Macaca mulatta: one gene and its partners. The protein of the gene in region 2 purifies or fractionates together with the protein of the main gene of each other region. This does not show direct contact. Links are inferred from orthologs where the notes say so. Each region holds a gene or a part of one and is shown on either strand. Other genes may lie near its edges. The genes, in order: RPUSD3, PRR3, YTHDC2, DAXX, METTL17, RBMS1 and MRPL20.

Region 1 (4,058 bases), on a different chromosome or scaffold from region 2:
TCGACTAGCAATGCCTGCCACGAGTACAGTCATGGAGAAATGACTGCACACTAAGCATAGGTATTATTTTCTCTATTTTACCATTAGGGGAACTGAGGCTCAGGGAGGGTTTTGTTTTGTTTTGTTTTTTTGAGACAGGGTCTCACTCAGGTTGTTTAGGCTGGAGTACAGTGGCAGGATCTCAGCTTATTGCAGCTGCCATCTCCTGAGCTCAAGTGATTCTCCCATCTCAGCCACCCGAGCAGCTGGGACTACAGGCATGTGCTACTATGCCCAGCTTGTGTGTGTGTGTGTGTGTGTGTTTCTTTTGTTTTGTTTTTTTAAGTAAAGATAGGGTTTTGCCATGTTGCCCAGGCTGGTTTTGAACTCCTGGACTCAAGCAATCCTCCCACCTCGGCCTCCCAAAGTCCTAGCGATTACAGGCATGAGCTACCATGCCCGGCCTCAGGGAAGGTTTTGTTGTTGTTGTTTTTCCAGAGATGGGGTCTATTTTGCCCAGGCTGGTCTCGAACTCCTGGGGTCAAGTGATCCTCCTGCCTTGGCCTCCTAAAGTGCTGGGATTACAGGCGTGAGTCACTGTGCCCAGCGTCAGGGAGGTGTCATGCTTTGCCTGGTATCACACCATTTGTACTTGAGGATTTGAACCCAGAGTCATCAGCTTCCTCCTCTTCACTGTACCTGTATCCACCTCTACGATCTCAAACCTTCCTATGGAAAATGTGTCAGCATATCCCAAAGCAGCTGTTTCCCCACCATAGATGGATGCCTGTACTCCTAGCTTCCTATCACCCCTACCACTTACTTCCCAGATGCTCGGACAACCTGAAGCTCCTGCTCCCCGAGCCCCAGGGACTGGCTCAGCTCTGGCAGCACTGACAACAACGTCAGCTCTCCTGATTTTCCTGGAAAGTAAGAAAGAAAAATTACAAGAGGCCAAAGCTTCACGCCTTCACTTTTCCCTCCCCAGACACAAAACCCCCTTCTGCTGCATTCCCTTCCCACATACCCGGCCTGTACCTGTCACTGGTAGACCCTGTGGCTTGTTCAACGTCACTAGAGGTCCTGAAACATACATCACATGAACATCAGCAAAAGCAACAGTAACCCTTTATGCAGCACTTAAGAATTTCCAGAGCACTTTCTCACACATCTTAGCACATGGCCCCATCATGACTCTCAGACGTGACTTATCTACCGCACACCAAACTGAACTGCTTTCTGTTCCTCTGCCACCTCAGAGCCTTGGCACTTACTGTTTCCTCTGTCCCCAAATTTCCCAGGTCTGGCTCCCTATCACCTTGGCTCAAATGTCACATCACAGAGAGGTCTGAATCTCCAATCCAACGTCTGCCCTCTTCCTACAGTTCCTCACCATTAGAACATCCTGTTTCAGTTTATGCATAGCACTTATCACTAGTAACTTGTTCATTTATTTTCTGACACCCATTTCTCCCATTAGAGAGAAATCCATTTCTCCCTTGAGAGCGGAAACCATATCTATCTTTTTCAGCACTGTATACCTGCCTAGAACAGTGCCTGGAACACAGCATATGTTTAAGAAATAGTTGAGAAAAGAAATAAATCACTGAATGGAGAGTGGGGTTCAGAGAAATTCAGTTATTTTCCTAAAGCCACACAGCAAGCTGATCACAGAGCCTAGATGTCTGACTCAAAGCCTGTGTTTTGTCTATCAATAAACAATAATTTGTTGTCGTTTTTTTAGACTGAGTCTTGCTCTGTTGCCCCAGGCTGGAACACAGTAGCACGACCTCGGCTCACTGCAACCTCTGCTATCCGGGTTCAAGTGACTCTCCTGCCTCAGCCTCCCCAGTAGCTGGGATTACAGGCGGACGCCACCACACCTGGCTAATTTTTGTATTTTTAGTAGAGACGGGGTTTCACCATGTTGGCCAGGCTAGTCTCGAACTCCTGACCTCGGGTGATCCGCCCGCGTCAGCCTCCTAAAGTGCTGGGATTACAGGCGTGAGCCACCGCGGCCAATAAACAATAATCTAGTATAGCAACTCCTGTAACTGAGCGCCGGCTATGTGCAAGGCTTGATAGTTATTTGCATCCTCTCCCCACTCTTAACCCTACTGCATCATGGCGGTAAGGTTAAAAGCGGGGAGAGGGTGCAAATTAGGTGGCTCGTCCCAGCTCATGCTGCTAGTGGGAGGCAGAAGCAGGGCTGATCCCGTGGCTTCACTCCGCGGCAGTCCCCTCCCGATCCCTGTGCGGCCGTGCCTCTCACCCCTCACCTTTCCGGTCCACCACGGCTGCCCGCAGCGCATCAACCAACTCCTCCCGACTGAGGTTTTTTGGCAGCAGCCCCGGGAAGGGCTGGTCCCCGAGGGGCCCCGACCGTAGGCGGGAGCCGCGGGGTTGCCTGTGATGCCTGGACAACGAGGGAGAAGCAATGGGAGTCATTCCGTCCCGAGGTGCCGCCCATTCCTATCTCCCGACGCCTCTTCCCAAAACCTGCGGCCTCTGACAAATGCCTCACAATGTCTAGGCTGACCTCGAAAATTCAGGTAGACCGGTCCCATCCTACAGTCGAGGGCACCGAGGCTGAGAGAGGCCAAGGGGCTGTTTTCGGGTAACATCTACCTGATGCAGATCCCGCACGTGCCTTCCCGCTGCCCTAGCCTCCGTCCCGCATGAGGGAGGGGGTACTTAATCACCGGGCTTCGATGCCAAAGCCTGCGTCCTCGGGCGCTGTGCTTACAGCCAGGCCCCGCCGCCAGCCACTCCAGATCGGACCCAAAACACGGCGGCCGTCCATCTCCCGAGTCAGTACAGTGCGCATGTGCTTTCAGAGGAGCAGCGCCACGCTCCCGCCAGCGCGCTGATTGGTCAGCTTGAGTGTCAATCGGAATGGTGACGAGGCGGGACTCAGAGCCGGAGGAGGCGGGCTTTTCCTTCTCCCAGGAAGGAAATACAGCATTGCGGGCCTGTGCTTTTGGGGAGAGCTCAGGCAGAGGAATTTGATCTGTGAAGAAAATGTGTCTTGGTCGGGCGCGGTGGCTCATGCCTGTAATCCCAGCACTTTGGGAAGCCGAGGAAGGCAGATCACAAAGTCAGGAGATCAAGACCATCCTGGCTAACACGGTGAAACCCCATCTCTACTAAAAATACAAAAAATTAGCCGGTCGTGGTGGTGGGCACCTGTAGTCCCAGCTGCTTGGGAGGCTGCTGCAGGAGAATGGCGTGAACCCAGGAGGCGGAGCTTGCAGTGAGCTGAGATCCGGCCACTGCAGTCCTGCCTGGGGGACAGTGCAAGACTCCATCTCAATAAATAAATAAAATAAAATATACAGAGTCCTCCTTTTTCAGCAGTGAGTAACTCAAGGCCTTGGTGGTTTTGGAGGACAACTGCAGCTAAGGAGTCAATTTGGGCCTAAAGGACTGATAAAGTTTATGATACGTCTGTCATGCTAGCAAAGAAGTCATTAGAAACACTACAGAAGGTCGTGACAGAGGTTGAAATGCCTGCTATTCCAGTACCAAGAGCAATAGTGGAGGCAGAAAGTCCCAAATTGACAAGCAAGGGAATTAGTGGAATAACTCTTCTTTGTCGTGTCGGTGTCATGAGGGGAATAGGAAGCTCTTCGGTCCCATTTGCAAATTGAATTTTGGGAGTAAGGAAAACTAGTGTGCATATTCCTGTCCAATTAGCAGGTAGACACATGTAAGTGGAGGAGCCACAGAGGAAGAAGAGACCTTGTGCAAGGCAAACTGGAAATGCAAAGTAAAAAGATGAGATGGAGTACTGTAGCAGGACAAGCCATAGACAAAACTCCTCACACACCGAGTTAAAGAAGGAAGGGGTTTATTCGGCCGGGGGCATTAGCAAGACTCCTGTCTCAAGAGCCGAGTTCTCTGAGTGGGCAATTCCTGTCCCTTTTCAGGGGTCATAACTCTAAAGGGGTGCATGTGAGAGGGTCATGATCAATTGAGTAAGCAGAGGGTACGTGACTGGGGGGCTGCACGCACCGGTAATTAGATCGGAACAAAACAGGATAGGAATTTTCACAGTACTTTTCTATACAATATCTGTA
Region 2 (3,948 bases):
TTCTTCTGCTTCACGCTAAAGGGCTTCTTCCTCGGCATGGCCCGGACCAGTCACCTGGCCCGCCCTCCGCCGAGCTCCTGCCGCCTCAACTGACTGCCCCCCGGGGCAGTCCCCGCCGCAGGGGCCCGGGACCCTAGAGGAGGCGGAGCTAGCAGGTGACGTCAGCGGGCGGGCCCGACCGAATTGCCGCCGCGGCGGCGATGGAAGGCGGACAGGGGAGATACACAGTCACTTCCCTCCAGGAGCGAGGCGAAAGGATGATGCGGGGTGGGCTACTGGCACGTGAGAGCCAGTAGCACCGAGAGAGCACCCCGGCGGCGAGGAAGGAGGCGCGCGTGGGAGGACCAGGCTAACTTCGTCACGGACGCTACCAACTCGCGTTCGGAGGAGGGGGGAGCGCGTGTCATCACTACCTTGCGCTCCCGGGAGAAGCTACCACTCACCTGGAGGGGGCGGCGGAGCGGAGGGCGGGGCCTATTACCTAGGGGAGAGGAGGAGTGGACACGCTGAGGCTACACTCCCAACCCCCAGGCTTGACCTTAGTGGAAAGCCGAGACGGTGCGTCCCGGGAATGAAGCCAGGTTGCTGGGCTACACCGGGGGCACGGTCAGAGGTCTTTAGGGGAGGGCGGCGGTCTGAAGAGTCCTGGCTGCCGACCTGCTGGGACCCAAATTCCTTGTGGGAACGATGATAAGGAGCAGGTTTACAGATCAGAAGTGCAAAAGCGGGCGAGAAGCGAAACCCAGGCGGGACAAGGGCTTTTGGAGGGAGGTCAAAGGGCACAAAGTTGTGCCTGCAGCTGTTACCATAGTAACCGAGGACCGGATGTGGCGATCTTACGGTGCGACAGTCCTCTTCTCAGGCCTTCTGGCCCGAGAGCCTGTTGACTCTGTGACACACTCTGAGGAGCTGGTTGTGGTGTTTTCCAGCGAGGGAAGAAGAGCGGAATTTTTTCAAAGCATTTATAGAAACGCAGCAAAAGGAAGGTGTGAGGTTGCCGCCATGCCTGGCAGAGACGGAGAGAGGCAGTTTACTCCAGAATGCGGCCGCCACAGATGTTCTCCGCAACCTTCCGGAAGTGGAATGGTGGGAGCTTGGGCATTGCTGCCCACCGACCCCCCGGAAGCGGAAACAGAATCCCCGCGTGCCCCTTCCTCACTACCCTCCAAATCCCGCTGCAGCCATTGCCGCAGCCACGATGCCGAAACGAAAGAAGCAGAATCAGCACCAGCCACCGACACAGCAGCAACCCCCACTGCCCGAGCGGGAAGAGACTGGAGATGAGGAGGATGGGAGTCCCATCGGTGAGGGGTCAGGGAGGGATGTGCACATGCCTGTCAAGCCCGTCCGGGCGAAGGGCTAGGGGCTAATAAGGTGCGAAGGAAGGGGCTCTAACGGAAGGAGGAAGGGCGCACGCGCTGGGTAGGGATGGCAGCAGGGCTGTCCCAAATGGAGCCTTGAACCAGGAGTTCTCTTACTGGAACCGTCAACCTCAATACGGCCCCAAACCTTTCTGGAACGCGGGGGTGGAGAGAGTAAAGAGCTCTTTTGCGCAGCCGCAGAACAGTAGGGGAAAGGGGCAGTAGAGATGTTGCAGATTGCGATGACTGGGTTGACAGTTTGTATCCGGATTTTGATTGAAAAGGTACAGGTGCCGCTTTCTCTAAACTAGTCCTCTGGCCGAGTGAAAGGAGAAGAGAACTGACTGGCCAGCAGTTAAGGTGAGGGATTGGTTTATGTCTGGAGACACTTAGGTTGTTTTGGATAGCGACGGTACGGTGAGGAAAAGAAAAAGTTGTATCTTTTCCTGCATTATCGCCTTTGATTGAATATCTACTTTTTGCAAACCCTGAAACAGCTTTGCAGAAAAAAGAGCAGATAGATGGGGTGAGAACTCCTAAGACTGCTGAAAATATACCTGACTTTACTGGTTGAATTAAGAAATGAGTAATACAAGAAAAACGCCTAAGAACAGAATCATCAGTCCTTTAATCCATTCTGATGACCATATTTTCATGTCTGCTCTTAGGACCACCCAGCCTTCTGGGCCCTCCCCCCATGGCCAATGGAAAACCTGGCGACCCTAAGTCAGGTGAGGAGGAAGGGGCCCTGATCCTTGTATTAGGTCGCGGATAAGACGGCAAGGGAGGGGATAAAACCCAGGAAGGACTTAAAAATCAAAAGGTCAGGGATTCCATCCCTAAATGAATGGAGAGAAGTTGTATATTTGCTGACTGAAAAACTCAATGTTGTAAAAATGTCACTTCTTCCCAAATTGATGTATAGACTTCATGCATTCCAAGTCAGAACACCCATAATGTTTTTGTGGAAATACACAGTATTATAGGGAAATGCAAAATATCAAGGTGAGAGACTGTCAAAACAATCTTGAAGTGGGAGGGCGTACTATGAATATCAAGATTTGTAAGCTGGGCATGGTGGCATATGCCTGTGGTCCCAGCTACTCAGGAGGCTGAGGTAGGAGGATCCTTTGAGCCCAGGAGTTTTTGAGGCCACTTGGGCAACATAGTGAGATCCTGTCTATAAAAACAAGAAGGAAAAAAGACTTACTATAAAGCTACAGTAGTTACAACGATGCGGTTTGGACACAATGATACACATAAGTCAACAGGACTTATGTCCCGAAGAGTCCAATAACAGGCCCATACATGTGTGGACACTTCATTTATGATGAAGATGGAACTGGAAAGTTGGTCTTTTCAATAAATGATATTGGATCAATTGGATATTCATGTTAAAAAATGGAATTTCACCTTGTAGTCATAATCATATTGTATAATGGACTGTAGATCTAAGTATAAAAGGTAAGAGAATAATTATTCTAGAAAGTAAATGTATTTTCTAAGAGTAGCTAAGAGTTCTTAAACAGATAAGAAATGTAGGTATACACACTAACCATAAAGGAAAGATTGATAAATTGAACTCCATTAGAAAATATAAATTTGCGGCCAGGTGCAGTGGCTCACACCTGTAATCCCAGCACTTTGGGAGGCTGAGGCGGGCGAATCACAAGGTCAGGAGTTCAAGACTGGACTGACCAACATAGTGAAACCCCTATCTCTACTAAAAAATACAAAAATTAGCCGGATGTGGTGGTGTGCGCCTGTAATCCCAGCTACTCAGGAGGCTGAGGCAGGAGAATCGCTTGAACCTGGAGGCGGACGTTGCAGTTAGCCGAGATCGCACCACTGCACTCTAGCCTGGGTGACAGAGTGAGACTGTCTCAAAAAAAAAAAAAAAAGAAAGAAAAGAAAATATAAACTTGCCAAATAACGCCATTAAGAAATTAACAGGAAGCTATACAATAGAAGATATTTGCAACAAATATAACCAATAAAGATCCTTTATCTATAATATATAAAGGATTCTTCCAGACAAGCCATTTGAAAAATCGACCAAAAAAAAAAAAAAAAGGACACCTTATTAAAATGGAGCTCTAAATGAACTAAAAGTCTAAATCAACAAGTACTCAATATCATTAATCGTCAAGTAAATGCAAGATAAAAATATACCACTTTGAAATTAGAACTCTTGTGTACTGCTGCTGGGATTATAAAATGGTGAAACTACTATATAAAACAATATGAAGAGATTCCTCTTAAGCAATTAAAAATATGTATGTATGACAAAAAAAATTAAAAATAGAACTACCCCAGAACTCCTGCTTCCAGGTATATAGCAAAAAAAAAAAAAAAAATGGAAAGCAGGGTCTTGACATATTTGCAGACTCATGTTCATAGCAGCAGTATTCACAATAACAAAGAGGTGGAAGCAACCCACATGTCCACTGATGGAAGAATAAACAAAATGTGGCGTGTACATACAATGGATTATTATTCAGCCTTAAAAGGAAGAAAATGCTGTCACATACTACAACATGGATGAACTTTGAGGACTTTATGTTCAGTAAAGACATAGTGTATGATT
Region 3 (4,176 bases), on a different chromosome or scaffold from region 2:
CAACAGCACCAACAGTGAGAAAGCTTCCTTTATATTGATCCCACCATCCTTACTGACAAAATGAAATAGGTCCACAGAATTTAGAGTTTTTCAGTTTGGATGGCTCAAATGACTTTTCCCCACTGTAGCTCTGTGATCCTCCCAACAAAACAAAACAATTTCCTCCTGTACCACTTTTTAAAATTATTTCTAATCATCCGATTCTTGACTTGGTAGGAAAGAAAACAATGAACATATGTTCTAAAGCTTACTATTACAGTGCAGTAACAGTAAAAGACATAAGTTTCATAAATAATTGTACTTATTATCTTTTGTACATCAATATTTCAAATGAGATTTCATTTCTATAAAAAAATAAAAATATTTTTCTCAAGAAATCAACTTCAACTTTTAAACTATTTTTTTCTTACATCTTAAAATTTACCTTTGAAAGAGTTCAGAGTATGCCACCCAAATATATGTCACTCTCCCATAAAGATTATTTTGAGCTGAAGGCAATTGAGAAGAAGCAGACCTAAAAGAACTCTGCCCTCCCCTGCTTTACCAGAAAGGGCAGGACTATTCTTAATAAGAGAAACCACTCTAGACTCTTAACCCAGAGACAGCACCAGAGGAACCTACATAACCAACCTTGCTAAAACAACACATACCTTCCATTAGTTTCCCCATATATACCTTCCCACAATTTACTGCACCTACAAGTTCAAAGTCCTTTTCCTTTGTCTTGTCATTTTTTAAATAAATTCATTGTTCTTTATTAAGATGCCACATAAGCCCCATGTTTGAGTTACTATCGAGTTTTCCCCTATGTATGCATGATGCATATCTTAATAAGCTTATGTTTTTCTCTTGTTAATATGTTTTTTATCAGTCTAATTTGCAGGGTCCCAGCCAAGGAACCTAAGCTGGGTAGAGGAAAAAGCATTTTCCTAGCGAAAAAGATAACAAAACAAAAAAGGCAGGGAGAGGTAGATAGAAGGAAGAGGAAAGAGGTGAATTTGGTACAGACCTGAATCATTTTATCTACACAGGATACAACTAAGAATGTGAAGTTAAAACAGTAATAACTACTTAAACGTACTCAGAAACATTCTCCCTTTTTTGAGCAAATAATCTTTTTTTAAAAACAATAAGAAAAGCTACCAGCTTACCCTTTACTTTTAGAGACCAAACCAAGAGACTGACTGAGTCGATGAATAAAGGCTCTTTCAGTACTGGTCAAAGAAGAAGGAAATTCCATCTCTACATGAGAAAAAAATAAAAGCAGTACAATTTGTAGGTAGGCAATTTTCTCTCAAGTAATACACACAGACATAAAATATGAAAAACATAGACAATCAAATTTATTATACTTTATGTGAGGTTAACTTACTTTATATTTCATATTCTAAGTTAATAATACTAATATATTTTATTAATAACTACTGAACGTCTACCAGAATTCTGATATTGATAAAAAGACATCTATGTATTAAACCTAAATGTGATAAAGGCCTCTGATGTTCACCAATAAACGACTCCTCTTACTTGTGCTGGAATTTTGAGTTGGTATAATGACTGAACATATTTAACTTGGTCCCTACTTGTTTAGTTAACAAAATAAATGATGAGATATGCTCAAACATTATGAATTCTCAACATGAAACTCCATTGTCTTTGCTTTCGAAACTGTATAGAATTCATATTTCACTATTTCAGAGGGATTTGTTATATACTGCTGAGGCTTTCTCTTTTTTTAATGTGAATTCACAATCTCTCTGTCCAGAACATTCCCCATTTTTGACTATAAAGAGTCCAGAGTAAGAGGTCCCCTAATTAAGCCAGCAGGTCCGAATGAGCCCTCAACATACTGTACAGGTCACCACAGGTCAGTTGCTGGTTCTGCACTATATGATCCAAGACAAGCGGCTTTCTAACCTCAGGAGGTGTGGAAGAGGCTTCGTGTGCCAAACAGGTTTAAGTGGGTAGCGTGATTGCTTCAGGGTTCAAACGTATTACCGGTGCACTTACTTATATGTTTGATTTCTTTCTGCTTTTCTACATCTGTAGCTTAAACGTGCCACAATTAAGGTGACACTCCCTTAAAAAAATTTTTTTAAGGGTTAAGGCTAACCAATATCTGAAACACGGTGGCTTAACCGCCCAAGGCTGTTGAAAGACGCGGGGGAAAAAAACACTTGCAGCTAGCGAGCAAAGTGCCCATAACCCCACTAATGCGCAGAGCACCTCGCATTTTACCGCAGGGCTAACAGCCGCGTTCCAGACCCGGGTGCCGCCGCTGAGGCCCGACCCGGACGGTGGCCCGGGTCCTCCCTCCCTCTTCGGAGGCAACCCCATCACTCGGTGGGCCCAGGTTTGGGGGGCGCTGGGGTAAGGGGGTGTCCTGACGGCCAGCAGGGTCCCTGTCGGGAACCTCACCTCTCTGGTCCCCGTATCGGAAGCGCTCCAGCGCGATATTGACTGCGATCTTCACCTCCTCATCAATGCGAATGTCCTTCAGCCCCTTGGCCCGCCCGCCGCCCCCAGGGCCACACGGCGAGGGGCCACCGCCTCCGCCACCGCCAGGAGCCGGCTGCCGCGGGGAGACGCTGCTCGGCCTGGACATTGCCCTGAAGAGATGGTCTCCCCGCACGGGAGCGGCCAGGCCTGCTGGGTGACAGCCAATGACAGAGACCGTGGGACTCCGGGGCCACTACCCGGCGGCTCCGCAGACGGCCTGCGTTGGGCTGAAGTCACCAGAAAGCCCTCAGTCACCACAACAGCAGAAGTGAAACCTGCGCCGTTGATATCACGGCAAGGCGGGGAGCGCGGGCGTAATGACGTCACCAGGGCCGACGCCCGTGACCTCAGCGCGGCCGCCGCTGCGCGCCTAAGGGAGGCTCTGCCGAGCTGTGGTGCGGTCCTCTTCCCCCGCCGCCCGCCAAGGGTCGCTCCTCGTCTTCTTACTCACTCCCTTGCTATCTCGTTTAGTCCTTCATTAATTCCTGCAGTAAGCATATATGGGCTCCCACTGTGGACCTGGCACTATGCCACGCCTTCGATATACATTGGAGAAGGTTCCTACCTTCATGGAATTTATATTATAGTAGGAGGAGGGTTGCCAGATTTAGCAAATAAAAATACAGAATGCCTAATTAATTTGCATTTCAGATAAACGAATACTTTTTAGTATATATATTTCCCGTGCAACATTTGGAAAAATATCATAAAAAATACATATACTAAAAAATGAGCGACTGTTAGGTGTCTTGCATTCTTCCCTTTTCTGAATGGGAGATTTTAATGCAAGTATGCCACCCTTGCTCTATCACGCTACACAGGGTAGCTGAGTGGGGACAGGTACGTAGTACATATTTACATAGTTCATGAGTTACCTGGCAATAAGGATACACATCTGAATCTAATAAAGAGGACTGTGTATCAACAACAGATCCTGGATGCAGTGACTAGATAGAATTCCAGGTGTCTGGGGAGGATATACGTGTATTCTGTGTGTGGTAAAAAGGGGGTGGAATATTTGGTGACAAGAAGTATGAACTGTGGCATAGAATACTGATACTCATCAAAAAATGTTTCTCCTTTTCTTCCTAGGAGTGATATTTCCCAACTCCCCTGCAGTTAGCTGGGGGCCACATGGCTGAGTTCACATGGCCATTGGAATGTTGCTGGAACTGATGTACACCACTTCCAGGATTGGTCTGTAACACCTTCCTTGAAGTCTCCCTTCTCTGCCTTTCCTGGTCTTCTGGAAGTTCTTAGACAACGGTAGAACCACTAGATAGATAGCAGGTTCCCGATCCCCTGAATGAGTGTGATAGAGTGTCCTCACCAACCCACATTGGAATATGACATGGGTAAGAAATAATCCTTAGTTGTGGTAAACTGCTGAGATTTAGGGAGTTTTTTTTTTTTTGTAACAATATGGTAAATTGTTGAATTCATCAAAGGTATGGCTTTGATGAATCACACATTCCCGTGTTCACACCCTTGTATTCTTCCTTCCCATATGGACTCTGTCCTTGGCAATGTAACTTGCTTTGGCCATTGGAACATCAGCAAATATGAGATAAGCAGGGCCTTGAAAGGTGTTTGTGCATTAAGGTTTACCCTGTTTTGAGGCTGAGAATTCTTCTTCCACAAAGTAAAGAAGCTTAGGCTAGGCCACTGACAACTATG
Region 4 (4,202 bases), about 3.5 Mb from region 2:
TATTGTAAAAGGAGAAGTGAAGAATGAGAACCTGTACTGCAGGTGTTTCCTTAGGAAGACCAATTTTGGGAAAGTTGAGGTTCTGGAAATTAAATCCCTTACATCTCCCAAGTTCCAGTCCTCGCGGAGGTTTTTTATGTTCCCCATTTTGAAAGCTGTAGACTTTGACGACTGGAGAGAAGTGATGTGGGATTGTTCAATGGACGGGTGTTTGCGATTCTATGACTCAGCGTTAGGGATGTAGTAAATTCTGTGAACCTAGTTAAGCGGCAAGATGCCCACCACTTGTGGAAATGGGAATCTTTGCGATTGGGACCTTGTTAATCTTTCTGGTTTCCTCATAAGCTCACCTCTGGACCCAGCCTTGCCTCCACGACTCCCTCCAACCTCCCTAAACTCAACGAGGTGGGTATCAAGTCTGTTTCTTCATCTTTCATTCTTTTTTACCCTCTCCCAGAAGAGGAGGAGGAAACCCAAAGTATTTTATGAGCCTCATTTCGTTTCACAGCAGCCCTTGCAGAGGCTCAAACTCTCCTCCAAGCCCCACCCCATCATCGCCCATCCGCAGACCCTGGGCCTCCACGACAAAGCACGGCCTCACAGTCAGCACCGACGGCCCTTCGAGGACCCCCTCTGGAGGAGAACCATTCAGGTCCCAACCGTCTGGTCATTAGTTCTGTGGTGAAGCTTGAAAAGCAAATCAGCAACAATAGTAATAATAATAACACTTTTGTATGGCGCATTGTGCTTATTTGTACGCATGTGTTATAACGACTGTGGGACGCAGCACCTGGCAGTAGAAGCAGCTGCTGGACAGCGGCAAGGAGCGCGCCGCCCTTGCAGGGGAAGGGGCTGGGTCAGCCGAATAAGCCGTGGAGATGGGAACCTGGGGGACAGGAAAGCAGGGCCAGATAGCTTGCCAATAGCCTAGTTGAAGATAAAGGTTTTACTTCCCTTTTAAGAGACTTCTGCCATTCCCTGAAACCCTACGCAGCTTTGGAAAGCCTAATTCCTAAACCACCCTGTTCGGTTCCCCTGCCCCTCCTTGGAACGGAGGCTCCGTTCTCCCCACGCGCTACTCGCCGGCGGTTGGACCCCAGGGAGGAAGTTTCTGATTGGCGGAGTCAGAGAAGCACCGGGTGAAAAGAGCTCCTCCGGCTGCGCACCGAAGTTCTGGCGTAGCCAGCGCCGTACGGCAAAATGGCGGCCCCCAGCTGCTTTGGGACGCCCGGGTTCGGGGAGACAAACTCCGACCTGGAAGACAGCGCTGACTATGTGGGCGGCACTGGAGGTGTTCGCGGGGCGGGCCTACGGCCGCTTCCGGCCACAGGAAGCCTTGTTCCGTACGACAATATGGCGGCGCTTAGTTGCATGCAGGCGGAAACTCTGTTGCTTCCGGTCCGTAGTGGGGCCTGCGGTGGGAGTGGGAAGGAAGGCGGAGGGAACCATGCGAGGTTCTGAGATCTGCGGCGAGGGTCGCCTCGAGAGACGGTTTCTGAGGTGGGGGCCGGATGGTGCGGGGATCAGAGGCGGGGGCGGGGATATCGAGGCAGAGGTATTGGGGAGAGCCGGGCTCTGAGTCTGAGGGGAAAACTGTGGTACCTTCCTATCCCTGAAAGGGAGTGGGGCGGCCGGGGGCTGAACTGGGGGAGGGGGATTTGGCGGGAAGCGCATCTACCGGACCGGCCGGACCCAGGGTTGGGATCTAAGAGGAATCGGGAGAGCGTAGCGCGGTGCGGGGGGACTTCTAATTAGTTACAGGTCACCGAGAGAATGGGGAAAATTAGGGTGGGGTGAAAGGGAGGGGACTTGGGTAAAATATCTTCAACCTAAAGGCCCAGTTTGAGGAGACTCATCTGAGGGTGAAATACGGAGATAATTCAAGGAGGGGAAAAGAGAACGGACTGTTGGGAGGGAACCTCTTTCACCTCAGAGAGTCTAGGAGTTGGGGTGATCATTCAGGATGGGGCGGGTGTGGGGTTGACTTGTTTGAGGGCAGAGGGGGCAAACACATGAGGTGGCGCCCACAGGAGTGTGTTGTCTGTGCCAGGGGGTGTCAGGACGATTTAGGGTGCAGTGTGGGAGAAAGAACCAACTTGCCAACTCTGAGAAAGAGTGGGGAAATGCAACAGAAAGACCGGAAATCGACGTGAGGGGTGGAGCAGAAGGTGGCAACTTAAGGTGTGGGGGGGTTTGCCCCCCCCCACACCACTTGAAGGGCCCGAAAAGCATATAGAACTAATGGTTATTGAAATCAGGTGGTGAAGACAGTGTTGGTCAGGGCTGAAACCCAAGGAGTTCAGAAAATGCGTGAGGTGAAGGGATGGGGCTATGCTGGAGGGGCTCATTCTGAGGCCCCATCCCCTTCCAGCAGGAATTCTGAAATCCCCACCACTTCCTCCTTCCGGGGGATTTGATTCCCCCATGGCCACCGCTAACAGCATCATTGTGCTGGATGATGATGACGAAGATGAAGCAGCTGCTCAGCCAGGGCCCTCCCACCCACTCCCCAGTACAGCCTCACCAGGGGCAGAAGCCCCTAGCTCTTCTGAGCCTCATGGGGCCAGAGGAAGCAGTAGTTCGGGCGGCAAGAAGTGCTACAAGCTGGAGAATGAGAAGCTGTTCCAAGAGGTGAGCTTTAGCTGGGAAGATCATTGTACCCCAGGGAGGGGGATGGCTGACTGGCTCTCCTGTCCTTTCTTCCCCACTAACCCCACTCCCCTTTCTCTCAACCCCCTCCCTTGTCTCTCTTCCCCTTCCTTCTTCCCCTGAACCTTCTAGTTCCTTGAACTTTGTAAGACGCAGACAGCGGACCACCCTGAGGTGGTCCCATTCCTCTCTAACCGGCAGCAACGTGCCCACTCTCTGTTTTTGGCCTCGGCGGAGTTCTGCAACATCCTCTCTCGGGTCCTATCTCGGGCCCAGAGCCGGCCATCTAAGCTCTATGTCTACATCAATGAGCTCTGCACTGTTCTCAAGGCCCACTCAGCCAAAAAGAAGCTGAACTTGGCCCCTGCTGCCACCACGTCCAATGAGCCCTCTGGGAATAACCCTCCCACACACCTCTCCTTGGACCCCACAAATGCTGAAAACACTGCCTCTCAGGCCCCAAGGACCCGTGGTTCCCGGCGGCAGATCCAGCGCTTGGAGCAGCTGCTGGCGCTCTATGTGGCAGAGATCAAGCGGCTGCAGGAAAAGGAGTTGGATCTCTCAGAATTGGATGACCCAGACTCCACATACCTGCAGGAGGCACGGTTGAAGCGTAAGCTAATCCGCCTCTTTGGGCGACTATGTGAGCTGAAAGACTGCTCTTCACTGACCGGCCGTGTCATAGAGCAGCGCATCACCTACCGTGGCACCCGCTACCCAGAGGTTAACAGGCGCATTGAGCGGCTCATCAACAAGCCAGGGCCTGATACCTTCCCTGACTATGGGGATGTGCTTCGGGCAGTAGAGAAGGCAGCTGCCCGACACAGCCTTGGCCTCCCCCGACAGCAGCTCCAGCTCATGGCTCAGGATGCCTTCCGAGATGTGGGCATCAGGTTACAGGAACGACGTCACCTCGATCTCATCTACAACTTTGGCTGCCACCTCACAGATGACTATAGGCCAGGTAGGGGGTTAGTGGGATGCCTCTCAGTGACCCTTATATGTCAGGTATGAGGCGGATGGGGCATCTCTCTAGTCCTTTCTAGGGTTTGTACTCTTCTAGTCCCTTCCACGGCTGAGTGCTCTGACTTTATATTTTCCCACGTAGGCATTGACCCTGCACTATCAGATCCTGTGTTGGCCCGGCGCCTTCGGGAAAACCGGAGTTTGGCCATGAGTCGGCTGGATGAGGTCATCTCCAAATATGCAATGTTGCAAGACAAAAGTGAGGAGGGCGAGAGAAAAAAGAGAAGAGCTCGGCTCCAAGGCACCTCTTCCCACTCTGAAGACACCCCCGCCTCCTTGGATTCTGGTGAGGTGTGGATGGGGTAAAGCCTTCAGAGAGACATTGTCCTTCCCCTGCACTGGCCACCAGGGAGTCCAGGTTGACTGATGGGGGAGCATGAGAAGGAATGCAAGAACCAAACCCTCTAGGGCAAGGGATTCCTTAGAGAAACTTCTTTGTCCCCCAGGGCCCTAGTGGAATGGCATCCCAGGGGTGCCCTTCTGCCTCCAAAGCTGAGACAGATGACGAAGAAGATGAAGAGAGTGAT
Region 5 (4,160 bases), on a different chromosome or scaffold from region 2:
TGGCTCAAACAATCCTCCTGCCTCAGCCTCCCAAACAGCTGTGACTGCAGGCAGGAGCCCACCATGCCCAGCGGAGATCCTCTTTAAAAAAAAATGCATATGCAATGTCCCAAGAATCCCCATCCTAGAAAACTACTTTATGAATAGGGAACTGATGGTCAAAAAGTTCAGGTTGGAAGTTAAGGGACTTTCACCTCATGGAATGCTCTGGAGACTGCTGCAAAGCCACCATCCAGTCTTGCTGCCATATACACCAGGCTCAGTCCCTCAGTGTAGCTGCCATTAAAATCAGAGAGTCATACATACTAGTAAATAACCTTAATCCCATAGTTACCTTCTAGATTTAGAAAATGACATCTTGGAAAAGGCTCTTCCAGCTCAGGCCTTTCACTCCCCAATACAAAAGGGTCCTGGGGAACCTTACAAACACTAAATTTTCAAACTTCAGGGTTCGAAACTTCGAACTTTAACTTTTTCAAATACTAAATTGATCCTTTTAAGGTCAGGTGATGTAAAAAAAAATACTAAATTGATTGTGTAATTGTACTCCCCCAACTCTCTCTGCCTTTTCTTTCTTGTGCACCTCTTCTAGGCCCCCTTACCTCAGCTCCTGCCAATGGTAGGTAGTTTTACGTAGTGCATGTAGCACTGCTCCACGAAGTTTCTCCTCTGTCTGACATAAGTCTGTGGTGAGAACAAGGACTGGAAGTCAGGACCTAGGGAGAACAGGGCTCAGATCCAATATCAGAATATACTGCCCACCCAGTCCTCCCTGACTCCACCTAAGAAAGTCTTAAAGCTCAAGAGAGACAACAAACCTAGAGAAAAGTTTCAGGCAAGAATTAACAGTAACTACTACCACTAACAGATTGTTTCAAATAGCATTTTGCTTCTAAGAATGATTTATTCAGCTTAATCAATCCTGTTCCACAGGTTTGTTTTGCATTAAAGGAAAGTGTGATAAAAATTTAAAGGGTAAGCTGGGCGTGGTGGCTCACACCTGTAAACCCAGCACTTTGGGAGGCTGAGGCAGGTGGATCACAAGGTCAGGAGTTCAAGAACAGAACAGCCTGACCAACATGGTGAAACCCTCTCTCTACTAAAAATACAAAAATTAGCCAGGCGTGGTGGCGTGCACCTGTAGTCCCAGCTATTTAGGAAGCTGAAGCAGGAGAATCACTTGAAACCAGGAGGCAGAGGTTGTGTTGAGCTGAGATCGTGCCACTGCACTATATAGCCTGGGCAACAGAGCAAGACTGTCTCAAAAAAAAAAAAAAAAAAAATTAAAGGGCACTATTTTTTGGATTTCTTCACTTCTCCAAAATTTAAGGTTTTGATGATCTCCACTTTTCCTATGGAGAGGAAAGAAATTTGAAAATCTAGGTCTCATGACTGTTCAGTTCAGTACTATTGAGCAAGTATCTACTGATCACCTACTATGAGCCAGGTACTGTAAGGTGTGCAGGGAATGCAAGATGAATAAATGGTAATGTTAAGGAGCTCACAATCATGAAACTAACTTGATGAATTATATTTATCCTCTTATCCCAGAAGAGGATTTCAGTACTGGGTAGAGGTCATCCAGGGACTTTATTTTACCTGAATAAAAACTTAGAAGGTCCTAATCCAGTGGACGTGCAGGAAAAAAACAAGTATCTAGATTTTAACAGTGTATTGGTGGCCAGGCACGTTGGTTCACGCCTGTAATCCCAGCACTTTGGGAGGCCGAGGTGGGTGGATCACCTGAGGTCAGGAGTTCAAGACTAGCCTGGCCACCATGACGATACCCTGTCTCTACTAAAAATACAAAAGTTAGCCGGGTGTGGTGGTGCACGCCTGTAATCCCAGCTAGTGAAGAGGCTGAGGCAGGAGAATCACTTAAACCCGGGAGGTGGGGGTTGCAGTGAGCCGAGATCGAGCCATTGCACTTCAGCCTGGGCGACAGAGCAAGACTCTGTCTCAAAGCAAAAACAAAAAACAAAACAAACAAAAAACAGTATACTGGGACATTCTAACCTTTACCTAAGCAATCTCTAGAATAATCTACCTTCTTTTAATAAGGCATCATTGTTACAACTGCTGCTCTGGTTAGAAAGTCAAATAAGAGACTTCAGTACCTGTTCGAGAGACTGCAAAATTATTTCTTACTCTTCATTTCTAACCGACATTTCAATCTGGCCTACTTTTTAATTATTAAGTCCTACCTGGGTTTTCCAGAAATTTCTTCTCAAAATGCCTAGCCCGTCTTTGCAACTCCTCTGGCTCCACAGGCAAATGTCTGCTCCAGAGATAACTGGTCAGTGTTTGCACCTGATTCTCCATAGTGGGCCCAGCATTCTCTATGGGCCAAAGATGAAAAGCGGAATCACTTGCATGCAGGTCCAGTCCCGTTTCTTCTCCCTTTCCAGCCGTTACTCACCAAGTAGCAGTAACTGGGCACCGTTAGCCAGTGCCTGTGGCAGCCGCACGTGCGGTAGGTTTAGGATGCCAGGGTGCTGGCGATGAGGCCTCTTCTGCAGGAAATCGGACTTGTTATCTATCTGTGTCACTCCAGGTACTACTGCGGCGAGCGACTGCAGGCAGAGAAAGAAAGGTTGATTTTCTGGCAGAAAGGAAAGTTGCTGGCGCTCGCTAGGGCGGGGGCTGCCAGAAGCGCTCCTCCTCCGCGCGGAGATGTCTCTGCAGATCCAGAGTCTCTCCGTGAGCCGGCAATGTAGGTACTCACCCGGGCCTGGGGAGCTACTCCAAGGCCGGGGCACCATCTTCCTAATATCAGTAGAGACTTCAGTGCCCCCGCCATGGCTCCGGAGGCGAACCGGAAACGGAAATGTAGGTTCCTGTGACCCTCAGTCACAACGCCGCAAGGAGCCGCCTTCGCAGAACGTCCCCCGACAGTTTCAGCCAACCAGAAGAGCGAGTGTTTGCCAGCAGCCAATAAGCAATGGTTATATAAATATCCTTGAGGCGGAAACCGTGTTTGGGCTGGAGGCTGCGTCGGGCTTGGTCACCGGCGCCAGAAATCAAGAGGGTGGGGCGGGACGGGGGCGGGATGGAGTTGGGTGTGAGCGCGCCATTGACTGGCAGAGACTGTTTCTGGGAATACTGACTTCCTGTGTTCTTTGCATTCCTCCGCGGAGAACTCTGAGTCTTGGGTTGTTTCCCTGTGTGAAAAAGGGAGACTGCAGTAACGGAAGGAAGAGAAGAGAAAAATCATATTTAAGAGACTTTAGACAACAGAAATTAATAGTTAAATAATTATTGAATAGTTAATAGTTTGATAAAAAACCTAGTTAATCGGTTTATTTTATTTTATTTTTTTACATTTGTTAATTTCTCTTCAAATGAGACCAGTCTTCTTAGTAAGCTAACATAACACTTACTGAGAACACCTACGTGCTAGGTACTTCAGGGAAAAGGACTGAAACTCGCTTCACAGAAAACTTGGTTCTGACGGGGACCCTTCTGAGTCTGCTGCTAGATCACACTGTTTCCCCCAGGCCTAGGACTTCTACAGATGCTGTCGTGACTACCTGAGGTGCAGAATCTCAGGTGGGTTCAGCCACTCTTGTGACGTGATAATGTAGCACAGGGTAATGTCTCCAGAGTCTGCAGGCCATCAACTCCTTCATTCACCAGAGCATCAGAAGGATAAATGGCATATGCAAGGCCATATCTACTTTCGGAATCTGACAGTGCACAACTGCTACCTCAGTCTCCAAACACTTGAGCTCACCCAGTGTGTGATTTCTGTGGGTTCCTGCCCCCCTAATTTCTGTTACAGGTTTAGGATGTTCTCCCAGCATATCCACTTGACTTGTGTGTGGAACCAGCCAGTTCATCTGGAGGGCTAGACTCCTGGGTCATCAGGCCCTACCACAGGTGGTCCAGGGATCTCAGGTCCCAGCACCCTAATTGGACTGCCCTTCTGTGGTCCTCTCCCTTATTCGACTTCTTCCTCAAATCTGCAGCCCTCACCGACCGCAGCCTGCCAGCTCTCTCAGGGCTCCTCATCTCGGGGTGAGGCGGGGTGAGAAGACATGGGTGGACAAGGGGAGAAGGGCTGCTCTGCCTCTTCCATGCGGAACCGCCTTTCCTGTAGATGAATGCAGGGCCCACTGACACGTCCTAGGCTGACACTTGCCTCTTTTCTAGCTTTTCCT
Region 6 (4,125 bases), on a different chromosome or scaffold from region 2:
AAAAATTACTAAGGTAAATGTGCCTGTAGAAACATGGTTTTTTTTCTTCTTCACCTGAGTGGGTGTATTTATTATTCATATTGTTAAGTGTTGAATAAGCTGTCCTTTAGCCACCCAATGCTGCATAATTTAAACAAGTGCATTAAATATATAAGACATCTAAAAGGCAGTGCATTGATTATGCCACAAAATTTCTTTGAACACCTTCCATGTAGCTCACAGAAAACTAGCATCTCCTGCAAGTTCCTGAAAACAAATACTGTGAAAACTACACAGAGATGAATAAGGGGTATCCTTGCTGCTACCATTTTGCTGCTTTCTGGTGACCCAAAGTGGAGTGGGAATTGGGTGAAGTGAAAATGAGGCCCTGGAGTGCTAGGACATTTCTGGTCTAGATACTGACAAGTGTCCTTTTTACGTAGACAAATACAGGGTTATGTCGTAAGTACATGAAAACGTGGACCACACACATTCTAAGAAAGAAAAGGCTGAATCAGAGATTCTTTGTATCAGGCCGGAAATGCCCAACTACCAGCAAGCAGAGCGTGATTACAACCTCCCAAAGAAAGTTGGTACACTGCATCCATACCTGATACTTTTGTGATCTAGAAGGGCACCCGGAGTTGTGATAGATGTTAATGGCAGAAGAAGGACGCTGAAGAAGGCCGCTGCGTCCAACTTCCACCCTCCCAAATTCTGGCGGCTGCTTCCAAAGCAGTGAAATTTCCAGTCTTCCTGGCCCAAACAATTTTTTTTAAATGAGTTCGGGAGGCATCAAATTCTTATTGTAAAAATAAGATAGGCCCACTAACAAAGTACCTAGGGTCCCTAGAAAGCCAGGCGCAATTTGTATGACTACATGTCATCAGCTGTTGTTACCCAGAGTGTGCCGAGGTCACTTTTTAAAAAGCAACATTGGAAATCGATCTGTGGCAAACATATAAGCTAGTTTTGTTTTTGTTTCTTTTTTAACCAAATACGAAGTCACTTCTTTCTCTGCACTGAAATCTGCCCATTGTCCCTCCTTTGCAAAACCTCTAGAGATTAGAAAGGACATCAATGAACGCGAGTGAACTTTGGCCACTTTTCTACCCAAAACACCAGCGTAAAAGTAGAAATCAGTAACCAGGTGAAGTGCCACACCGCACAAAGATCAGAGGCGAGGGGCGGGCGCGCAGGGCCGGAGGCGGGGAGGAAAATGTCCCGGCCCCGCCGCCCCTCCACCCTAGTCGCTGCGCGCGCGGGAGGTGGAGGGGCGTCCCTGGGGGGCGGGAGGCTCCCGCCTCCACGGCGAGGGGAGCAAAGAGTTACAGCTTACAGGGCGAGGCCCTTGGAGAAGGGGTCGAAAAGCCGGGCCACCAGCGGATCCAGACGCGGACGCCAGGCGACGGCGGCCGGCCGGCCAGGGCTCGGCGAGGGGCGCCGCTCGGCCCCGCGACCCTCCCCGCTGGCCGGGCCAGGAAGGGGCTGGTGGCTCTTTCCTGTCTAGTCTCTCCCCCCGCGCCTTTCTGTAACCCGATCCCCGCACTCCGCTCCCAGGGAAGCCGCCGCCCCGCGCGCCGCCCGGCTCTGCCCAGGCCAGCGCTATAGTTAGCAACCTTCCAGCAACTCCGCCCGGGGGCGGCGGGGGCTCGCTGCGCGCCCCTCCCCGGGCCCGACCCCGCGCGCACCCCCGGACCCCCTCCTACGGCCGTCATCTCCCCCCGGTGCCCCTTTACCTTGGCTTGCAGATACTGGGGGTAATAGTAGGTGGCGTACTGAGGGTACATCTGCTGTTTCCACACTTTGCCCATGAAGCTGGAAGGGAGCCTGCAGTGCAGGGTCGCGGACACTTTGGGGTTTCCAAGTCTCGGGCTCTCCTGCCTCTCCCTTTCCGGCGGCGGCGGCGGCGGCGGCGGCGGCGGCGGCGGCTGCTGCTGCCGCTGCTCCACCTCCCAGCCGGGACCAGACGTCCTCCTCCTCCTCCTCCTCCTCCTCTTCCTCCTCCTCCTCCTCTTCCTCCTCCTCCTCCTCCTCCTCCTCCCAGGCAGAAAGAAAGACACTGCAGAGCGCAGAGGGCACCCCGGACAGGGCGCTCCCAACGAGTTTCCTCCCGGAGCCCGACTGCTCCGGGGCTGCCAAGGGCTGGCGCGCTGGCCGCGGTCCGCTCGGGGAAGCTGGCTGCGCGGGGCTGAGAGGTGATCAATACAAGTGGAAAGTGCGGCAGCGGCGGCTGCGCTCGGTGCCAGGCGGCATCTGGGGTGGGTGCGCCCGAATGGGAGAGAGGAGAGGGGCTGGCGTTCCGAGGCCGTGGGGGAAGGGCGGGCGGGGGCGGGGCCTGGGCGACGCCGAGCCCGGGACCCGCGGAGGTGAGGGCTGAGTTTTAACCACTCCTCACCTCCTAGGCTCGCGGTTGGACTGGCGGAAGCCCTGGGAGTCCAGATCGCTTTGTGTCGGGGGTGGGGAAATGGGAGTGGGAGTGAGGGTGGAGGGGGAATGCGGGGGGGGACCCCGCTTAAGAACTGCAGGGCGGGCACCTCTTCTGCTTTCCCGAGTTTTTATCTTCGTAAGGGGGAGGGGAAATAAGGGAAAAGAGGAAATCTGATTAATCTCTCACTTCCCATCGCCCGGTAATTTTTTTTCACAAGGGAAGGAAAATGATTTAATGCCCAACAAAGCTGGAGTCCGGACACCTGGGTCCTGTTCCTCCCACCCACCACCCACCCCGGGCCACAAGACTAATCTAGGTGACCTTGGGAGGGTTAGCGTCCTTCGGTTTGGTTTTCCCAGATGTGAGAGGTGAAATCATGCCCCTTGCACAAGGGGAGGCAAAGCACATACACACACACACACACACACACACACACACACACACCCCTCACAACAAATAGACGGATCCTTCTAAGGGGGGGATGCCGCAAAGAGGCAGAATGTTATTAGAGGACACAATATAGACATCAGCTTTTCTCTGCCTCTTTCTAATGCTGCCAGACAGTCTGTCAACTCCCACTCAGGAGCAAGGAAACTCCCTGAGTTTGGAATATTTTAAGGCCATTTTGAAAGTCACGCTGGCATATTGTTGCAGTGTGCTTCAGTGACATATAAAATCAATCTCTCTTTCTGCCTCTCTCCATCTCCTAATTGTCACAGCTCTAGACAACCCCAGACCAGCAGTGGTTCAGTTCACTACATAACTGGATATAATTTAATGGAGTTAATTGGTCCCCGAAGCTGCCTGCAGAAGACTTTTATATTTCCAGCTCAAAAAGAGAGCTAATACCAAAACGTACATACGGATAGCATAGGTAAGCAAACATCCTCAAATTAGGGTTCCGGCACATCTAATAAAATATAATAAAAACAGTGTTTGTTATTAAATAGACCTTGATTACTTTGTCATTTTGGTTTTTGGAGAGTCTTTTGTTAATAGCACAAGGTAAATTAAACTCAACTGGAATGCATTATTTTGTTAAACAGTTATTATTTTTAAATAACATTTTAAAACAGGTTTAGTAAGATACTTTAAAGCAATGACAAAATAGAGACCCAAAGCCCTTATAATCGTTATATGGTTTAGACAAATTTCTAGATCATACATGTTTGACAAAAAATAAATATAAGTATAGGTGAGCACGTTTTGGGTCTGCCAGGAGGCAAATCATGTCCCTCTCATTTACCTATGTAAAATCCTATAAGGAAGCTAATGTTTACTGTGTCTGCTATATTGTAGGCACTGTTGAGGTGCATGCAGACCTGAAAGGTGGAGTGGGTCACTGTCAGACTAGGGGAGCCTAAAATATTTCCCATATTGTTTCAATGTGGGCCCCTTTAATGTTTTTAAACAGAGAACTGACATGAACTAAATTGTGCTTTAGGAAGACTAGGAATGATGGTTTGGAAGAGTGACAGAAGGAAGAGAAGTAAATCGAGAACAATCGCAGAAGTTCTAGGTTTGAGGTAATAAGGGAAACTACCAAACTTAGACTGTTCTACTTACTGTTTTTTTCTGGATGATGGAAATTCAGCCTGTTTTAGAGAACCCAAAAGCAGACCCACACTTATATAGACACTTGATTTATGACTGAGTTGGTATTATAGCACAGTGGAGAAAGAATGAACTTTTCAATAAATGATTCTGGGTCAATT
Region 7 (4,146 bases), on a different chromosome or scaffold from region 2:
TTCTCTTAATGGGGAAACATCAGGACTTACATTCCAGAAACACATGACTTGTTTCCAATTCTGCTCTGCTGCCAACCAGTGTGGTAAGCTCCCAGACTTGCGAGAACCCCACACAAAGACAGAGTGCAGCTACAGTGCGGCGGGAGTGGCACCCCTCACCTCTGCTGCATGGACCACTACTGGGCTGGATCAGGTCTGATGGGAGGGTTTTATTTATTTTTTGAGATGGAGTCTTGCTCTGTTGCCCAGGCTGGAGCGCAGTCGCGTGATCTCAGCTCACTGCAGCCTCCACCTCCCAAGTTGTCAAGCGATTTTCCTGCCTCAGCCTCCGGAGTAGGTGGAATTCTAGGTGCCTGCCACCACGTCCGGCTAATGTTTGTATTTTTAGTAGAGACAGGGTTTCACTACCTTGGCCAGGATAGTCTCCAACTCCTGCCCACCTCAGCCTCCCAAAGTGCTGGGATCACAGACGTGAGCCACCCCACCCGGCCATGGCTTTCTTTATTCTTTGTCAGACAGGGTCTCGCTCTCACCTAGGCTAGAGTGCAGTGGTGCCATCATAGCTCACTGCAGCTTCAAACCCCTGGGGGCTCAAAGTGATCCTCCTGCCTCAGACTCCTCAATAGCTGACACTACAGGTCTGTGCCACCACACCCAGCTATTTTTACTAGTTTTTTTTTGTAGAGAGTGGTCTCACTATGTTGCCCAGGCTGTTGCTGGCACTATTCCTAGGCACAATCCCATCACTCATCAACATGGGAACTGTGACCTGCTCCGTTTCCAACCTGGGCTGGTTCACCCCTCCTTAGGCAACCTGGTGGTCCCCTGCTCCCAAGAGGTCACCATATTGATACCAAACTTAACATGGACACCCCATCAGCAAAGAAAACTACAGCCCAGAAGTCAGTCTCAGGGATCCTCTGGCCAAAGCCTCCTGAGTCGCTGGGCTATGGGAGGCACCGCCACACCCCACATGATGGTTTCTGCAGATATCCATAATTTCAGCAGGGCCCACATGCTCACCCATACCTTCACTAAATTGCCAATGAACGCTGGATACTTCAGGCCGTGTTCCTGGCTAGCAGCTGTAATTCGATTAATCCAGAGCTGAAATAAGAAAACATGGAGATACTTAAAAATGACTTCTGGATGTTATGTCCTAGCAAAGGCTCTAATTGAACTAAGGAATATTTTTCTAAAAGTAAATAGGAAAATAAAAAAAGCAAATAGCTATGATGGTGACATCACACTCCAGCCTGAGTGAAATCAAGACCCTGTTTCAAAATTAAAAACAGCAAAAACCTGGCTGGGCGCAGTGGTTCAGGCCTGTAATCCCAGCACTTTAGGAGGGCAAGGCAGGCCGATCATTTCAGGTCAGGAGTTCGACACCAGCCTGGCCAACATAGCTGAACCCGGTCTCTACTAAAAACACAAAAATTAGCTTGGTGATGCACACCTGCCGTCCCAGTTACTCGGGAGACTGGGGTGGAAGAATCGCGTGAACCCAGGAGGCGGAGGTTGCATTAAGCCTAGATCACGCCATTGCACTCCAGCCTGGGTGACAGAGTGAGACTCCGTGGGAAGGAAAAAAAAAAAAAAAACGGCCGGGCGCGGTGGCTCACACCTGTAATCCCAGCACTTTGGGAGGCCGAGGTGGGCGGATCACGATGTCAGGAGATCGAGACCATCCTGGCTGACACTGTCAAACCCCATCTCTACTAAAAATACAAAAAATTAGGACGTGGTGGCAGGCGCCTGTAGTCCCAACAGGAGAATGGCGTGAACCCGGGAGGAGGAGCTTGCAGCGAGCCACTCCAGCGTGGGCGACAGAGCGAGACTCTGCCTCAAAAAAAACACAAAAAAAACAAAAACACGGGTATGTTAGATGGTAGGTTCATGAGGCTGAGGTGGGAGTGGTGAGGCGCAGAAATGAGATGGCACGTGGACAGAGTGGAGGCGCTAGCCTCTCAAAAATGCCGGGGGTTCCGGGTGTGCAGAGGTTGCCAGCAGGCGTGGGCTCTACGAGGACCACCACGGCAGCAGACAGTGGCCCTGGAGGGTGGGCAAGGGGCTGGGTTGACTTCAGCTGTCGGAGGGAAGGGAAGCCACCGGAGGGGAGATGAGAGCAGCAGCGACTAGGGCGGTGGCTGGCGACGCAGGAAGAGTGGCAAGGCGGCTCTGCAGTGGCCCGGGCGAGGGGCTGGAGCAGGGGTTGACAGTGGGGGTGGCGAGGGGGGCGGGAGAACGGATGTCCCACAGTCAGCCTGCGGGGCGACATAATTTGTCGGAGTTTCGAAGCGAGGTATGAAAGGAAGAAAGGAAGGAGCTGAGGGTGGCCGAGCGGCTGCACACTCGCTGGGTCGCGAAGCAGAGACGCAGGGGCCGAGAGCGCCCTGGCCGGCCGGTGTCCCGGGTCCACGCTTACGGTCCTCATGTTCTTTTTCTTCAGGTATCGGGCTTTGGTGCATTTCACAAAGGCTCGAATCACGGCTCTAACCGCCAAACTGTAGCAGCGATTTTTCCTCCCCCGGAAGTGCTGGGTCAGAAAACGAGAAACCAAGGTTGTCAGCGAGGCCCGCGCCGGCCGCCCCTTGGCCCGCGGGATCTCCCGCGCGTCCAGTGCCCACGCCGGGCGAGCGGCACTCACCCTGGCGTGCTTCAGCACCTCCTGGATCCGAAAGTAGCGGTCGGTGACGCGATTCCGCAGCCAGAGCTGCGCCGTGAGGAAGACCATGGTGCCTGCAGGCCGGCGTCCCGTATACTCAACAACGCATGCGCCGCGCCACCGCCATCTTGCCCGGGTCGGAAATAGCGGTCACGAACGCTTCCGGGTCAGCGCCTGCGATGACTTCCGGGGCGAAGGTCGTCTCCCGTCAGCCCGCGGGTGCCGGGCTGAGTCTCTGAACCCGCGGTGGTGGCGCTTGTAGGGGAGCGGGTGTGGAGCCCTGACGGGGACTGAAAGGAAAAAGGGGCCGCAGCGCCCGTGGCCATCCGCGGGCGATGAATAAACAGCAGCCGCAGCGCGGATCCTCCTGGAGCACGGCCCGGCCGCAGCTGTGGCTCCGAGGGCGCCATGAGGGCAGCGGACTCGGGACGGGGGCGCCGGGGCCGGGGAGCGCCGGGTGTGGCGCGGGCGGGGAGGGCCAGGCCGCCTCCTAGGGCCACGAGAATGTTCAGGAACCGAGGTGCAGATGGTCGCGTCGCTGGGAAAGTGCCCGTTGCCCCTGAAGCCTTCTCCTTGTTGACTTACTCATTTTGAGACGGGGTCTCGCCCGGTCGCCCTGGCTGCGGTGCAGCGGCCGGACCTGGGCTCGCGGCGGGCTCGCGGCGCCCTCGCCTCCCTAGTAGCGGGGACGTCAGGCGCGCGCCGCCAGCCCGGCTAATTTTTTGTGTTTTTTGTAGGGGGGAGGTCTCCCTGCGTTGGCCAGGCTGCTCTCGGACTCCTGGCCTCTGCTGGGATTACAGGCCTGAGCCACCGCGCCCGCCCTAGAAATTCTAAGCTTCCAAAACGGCAAATGACCGCGGTGGTGCCAGTGCCTGCAATCCCAGCACTTTCGGGGGCCGAGGGGGGAGGATCACTTGAGTCCAGGAGTTCCAGACCAGCCTGGGCAAGATAGTGAGACCCCAAGCTCTACAAAAAATTAAAAAGAAATTAGCCGGGCGCGGTGATGGCGCGCGCCTGAGGTCCCTGCTACTCAGGAGGCTGAGGCGGGAGGCTCGCCTGAGCCCTGGAGGTGGAGGCTGCAGTGAGCTCAGATTGCACAACAGCCTGGGCAACGGAGCCAGAGTCTCTAAAAAAAAAAGTTTTGTATTATGGGTAATTTTATGTTTCTGCTATATTGCCACAAAAATGATGGGAGGTGTGCAGTTTCTTTGTAACTTTTTATTATACTTGGATATGATTTTTTCTTAATCATAGAAAAGTTGGAATACTAGTACAAGGAAAACTCCCCAGTGTTTGCTACGGAAACGTGCCAACTGTTCCATTTGTTTAATACTCTCGAACCAAATTCACCTCCTGTGGGGAAAAGAGAGAGATCAGCCTGTTACTGCCTCTATATAGAAAGAAGTAGACATAAGAGACTCCATTTTGTTCTGTATTTGAGATGCTATTAATCTGTGACCCTACCCCCAACCTTGTCCTTG

What was found.
Region 1: the proteins of PRR3 (region 2) and RPUSD3 purify together in Homo sapiens (co-immunoprecipitation; 3 studies listed by BioGRID and IntAct, with this or other methods). This does not show direct contact. The link is inferred for Macaca mulatta from reciprocal best matches to the Homo sapiens genes PRR3 and RPUSD3.
Region 3: the proteins of PRR3 (region 2) and YTHDC2 purify together in Homo sapiens (co-immunoprecipitation; 3 studies listed by BioGRID and IntAct, with this or other methods). This does not show direct contact. The link is inferred for Macaca mulatta from reciprocal best matches to the Homo sapiens genes PRR3 and YTHDC2.
Region 4: the proteins of PRR3 (region 2) and DAXX purify together in Homo sapiens (co-immunoprecipitation; 3 studies listed by BioGRID and IntAct, with this or other methods). This does not show direct contact. The link is inferred for Macaca mulatta from reciprocal best matches to the Homo sapiens genes PRR3 and DAXX.
Region 5: the proteins of PRR3 (region 2) and METTL17 purify together in Homo sapiens (co-immunoprecipitation; 3 studies listed by BioGRID and IntAct, with this or other methods). This does not show direct contact. The link is inferred for Macaca mulatta from reciprocal best matches to the Homo sapiens genes PRR3 and METTL17.
Region 6: the proteins of PRR3 (region 2) and RBMS1 purify together in Homo sapiens (co-immunoprecipitation; 3 studies listed by BioGRID and IntAct, with this or other methods). This does not show direct contact. The link is inferred for Macaca mulatta from reciprocal best matches to the Homo sapiens genes PRR3 and RBMS1.
Region 7: the proteins of PRR3 (region 2) and MRPL20 purify together in Homo sapiens (co-immunoprecipitation; 3 studies listed by BioGRID and IntAct, with this or other methods). This does not show direct contact. The link is inferred for Macaca mulatta from reciprocal best matches to the Homo sapiens genes PRR3 and MRPL20.

Annotation. Positions count from the first base shown.
Region 1 is NC_133407.1:148,636,858-148,640,915, forward strand, and holds the start of RPUSD3 (mitochondrial mRNA pseudouridine synthase RPUSD3), read right to left. Parts: upstream 2,801-4,058; 5' UTR 2,783-2,800; coding exon 2,682-2,782; intron 2,396-2,681; coding exon 2,259-2,395; intron 1,063-2,258; coding exon 1,018-1,062; coding exon of another isoform or gene 1,007-1,017; intron 903-1,006; coding exon 803-902; intron 1-802. UniProt on the Homo sapiens protein: Catalyzes uridine to pseudouridine isomerization (pseudouridylation) of specific mitochondrial mRNAs (mt-mRNAs), a post-transcriptional modification necessary for their translation.
Region 2 is NC_133409.1:152,487,934-152,491,881, reverse strand, and holds the start of PRR3 (proline-rich protein 3), read left to right. Parts: upstream 1-1,148; 5' UTR 1,149-1,198; coding exon 1,199-1,304; intron 1,305-2,029; coding exon of another isoform or gene 2,030-2,092; intron 2,093-3,948. Other genes in the region: GNL1 (guanine nucleotide-binding protein-like 1), read right to left, coding at 1-38.
Region 3 is NC_133411.1:122,452,071-122,456,246, reverse strand, and holds the start of YTHDC2 (3'-5' RNA helicase YTHDC2), read right to left. Parts: upstream 2,801-4,176; 5' UTR 2,606-2,800; coding exon 2,419-2,605; intron 1,243-2,418; coding exon 1,152-1,242; intron 1-1,151. UniProt on the Homo sapiens protein: 3'-5' RNA helicase that plays a key role in the male and female germline by promoting transition from mitotic to meiotic divisions in stem cells.
Region 4 is NC_133409.1:148,966,215-148,970,416, forward strand, and holds the start of DAXX (death domain-associated protein 6), read left to right. Parts: upstream 1-1,402; 5' UTR 1,403-1,447; coding exon 1,448-1,500; intron 1,501-2,371; exon of another isoform or gene 2,372-2,424; coding exon of another isoform or gene 2,425-2,441; coding exon 2,442-2,631; intron 2,632-2,781; coding exon 2,782-3,613; intron 3,614-3,757; coding exon 3,758-3,966; intron 3,967-4,121; coding exon 4,122-4,202. UniProt on the Homo sapiens protein: Transcription corepressor known to repress transcriptional potential of several sumoylated transcription factors. Down-regulates basal and activated transcription.
Region 5 is NC_133412.1:93,838,574-93,842,733, reverse strand, and holds the start of METTL17 (ribosome assembly protein METTL17, mitochondrial), read right to left. Parts: upstream 2,801-4,160; coding exon 2,726-2,800; intron 2,574-2,725; coding exon 2,420-2,573; intron 2,340-2,419; coding exon 2,205-2,339; intron 685-2,204; coding exon 603-684; intron 277-602; coding exon 195-276; intron 1-194. UniProt on the Homo sapiens protein: Mitochondrial ribosome (mitoribosome) assembly factor. Binds at the interface of the head and body domains of the mitochondrial small ribosomal subunit (mt-SSU), occluding the mRNA channel and preventing compaction of the head domain towards the body.
Region 6 is NC_133417.1:65,311,886-65,316,010, forward strand, and holds the start of RBMS1 (RNA-binding motif, single-stranded-interacting protein 1), read right to left. Parts: upstream 2,801-4,125; 5' UTR 1,794-2,800; coding exon 1,719-1,793; intron 1,198-1,718; exon of another isoform or gene 590-1,197; intron 1-589.
Region 7 is NC_133406.1:239,277,441-239,281,586, reverse strand, and holds the start of MRPL20 (large ribosomal subunit protein bL20m), read right to left. Parts: upstream 2,801-4,146; 5' UTR 2,735-2,800; coding exon 2,648-2,734; intron 2,537-2,647; coding exon 2,426-2,536; exon of another isoform or gene 1,807-2,425; intron 1,530-1,806; exon of another isoform or gene 1,108-1,529; coding exon 1,030-1,107; exon of another isoform or gene 1-1,029.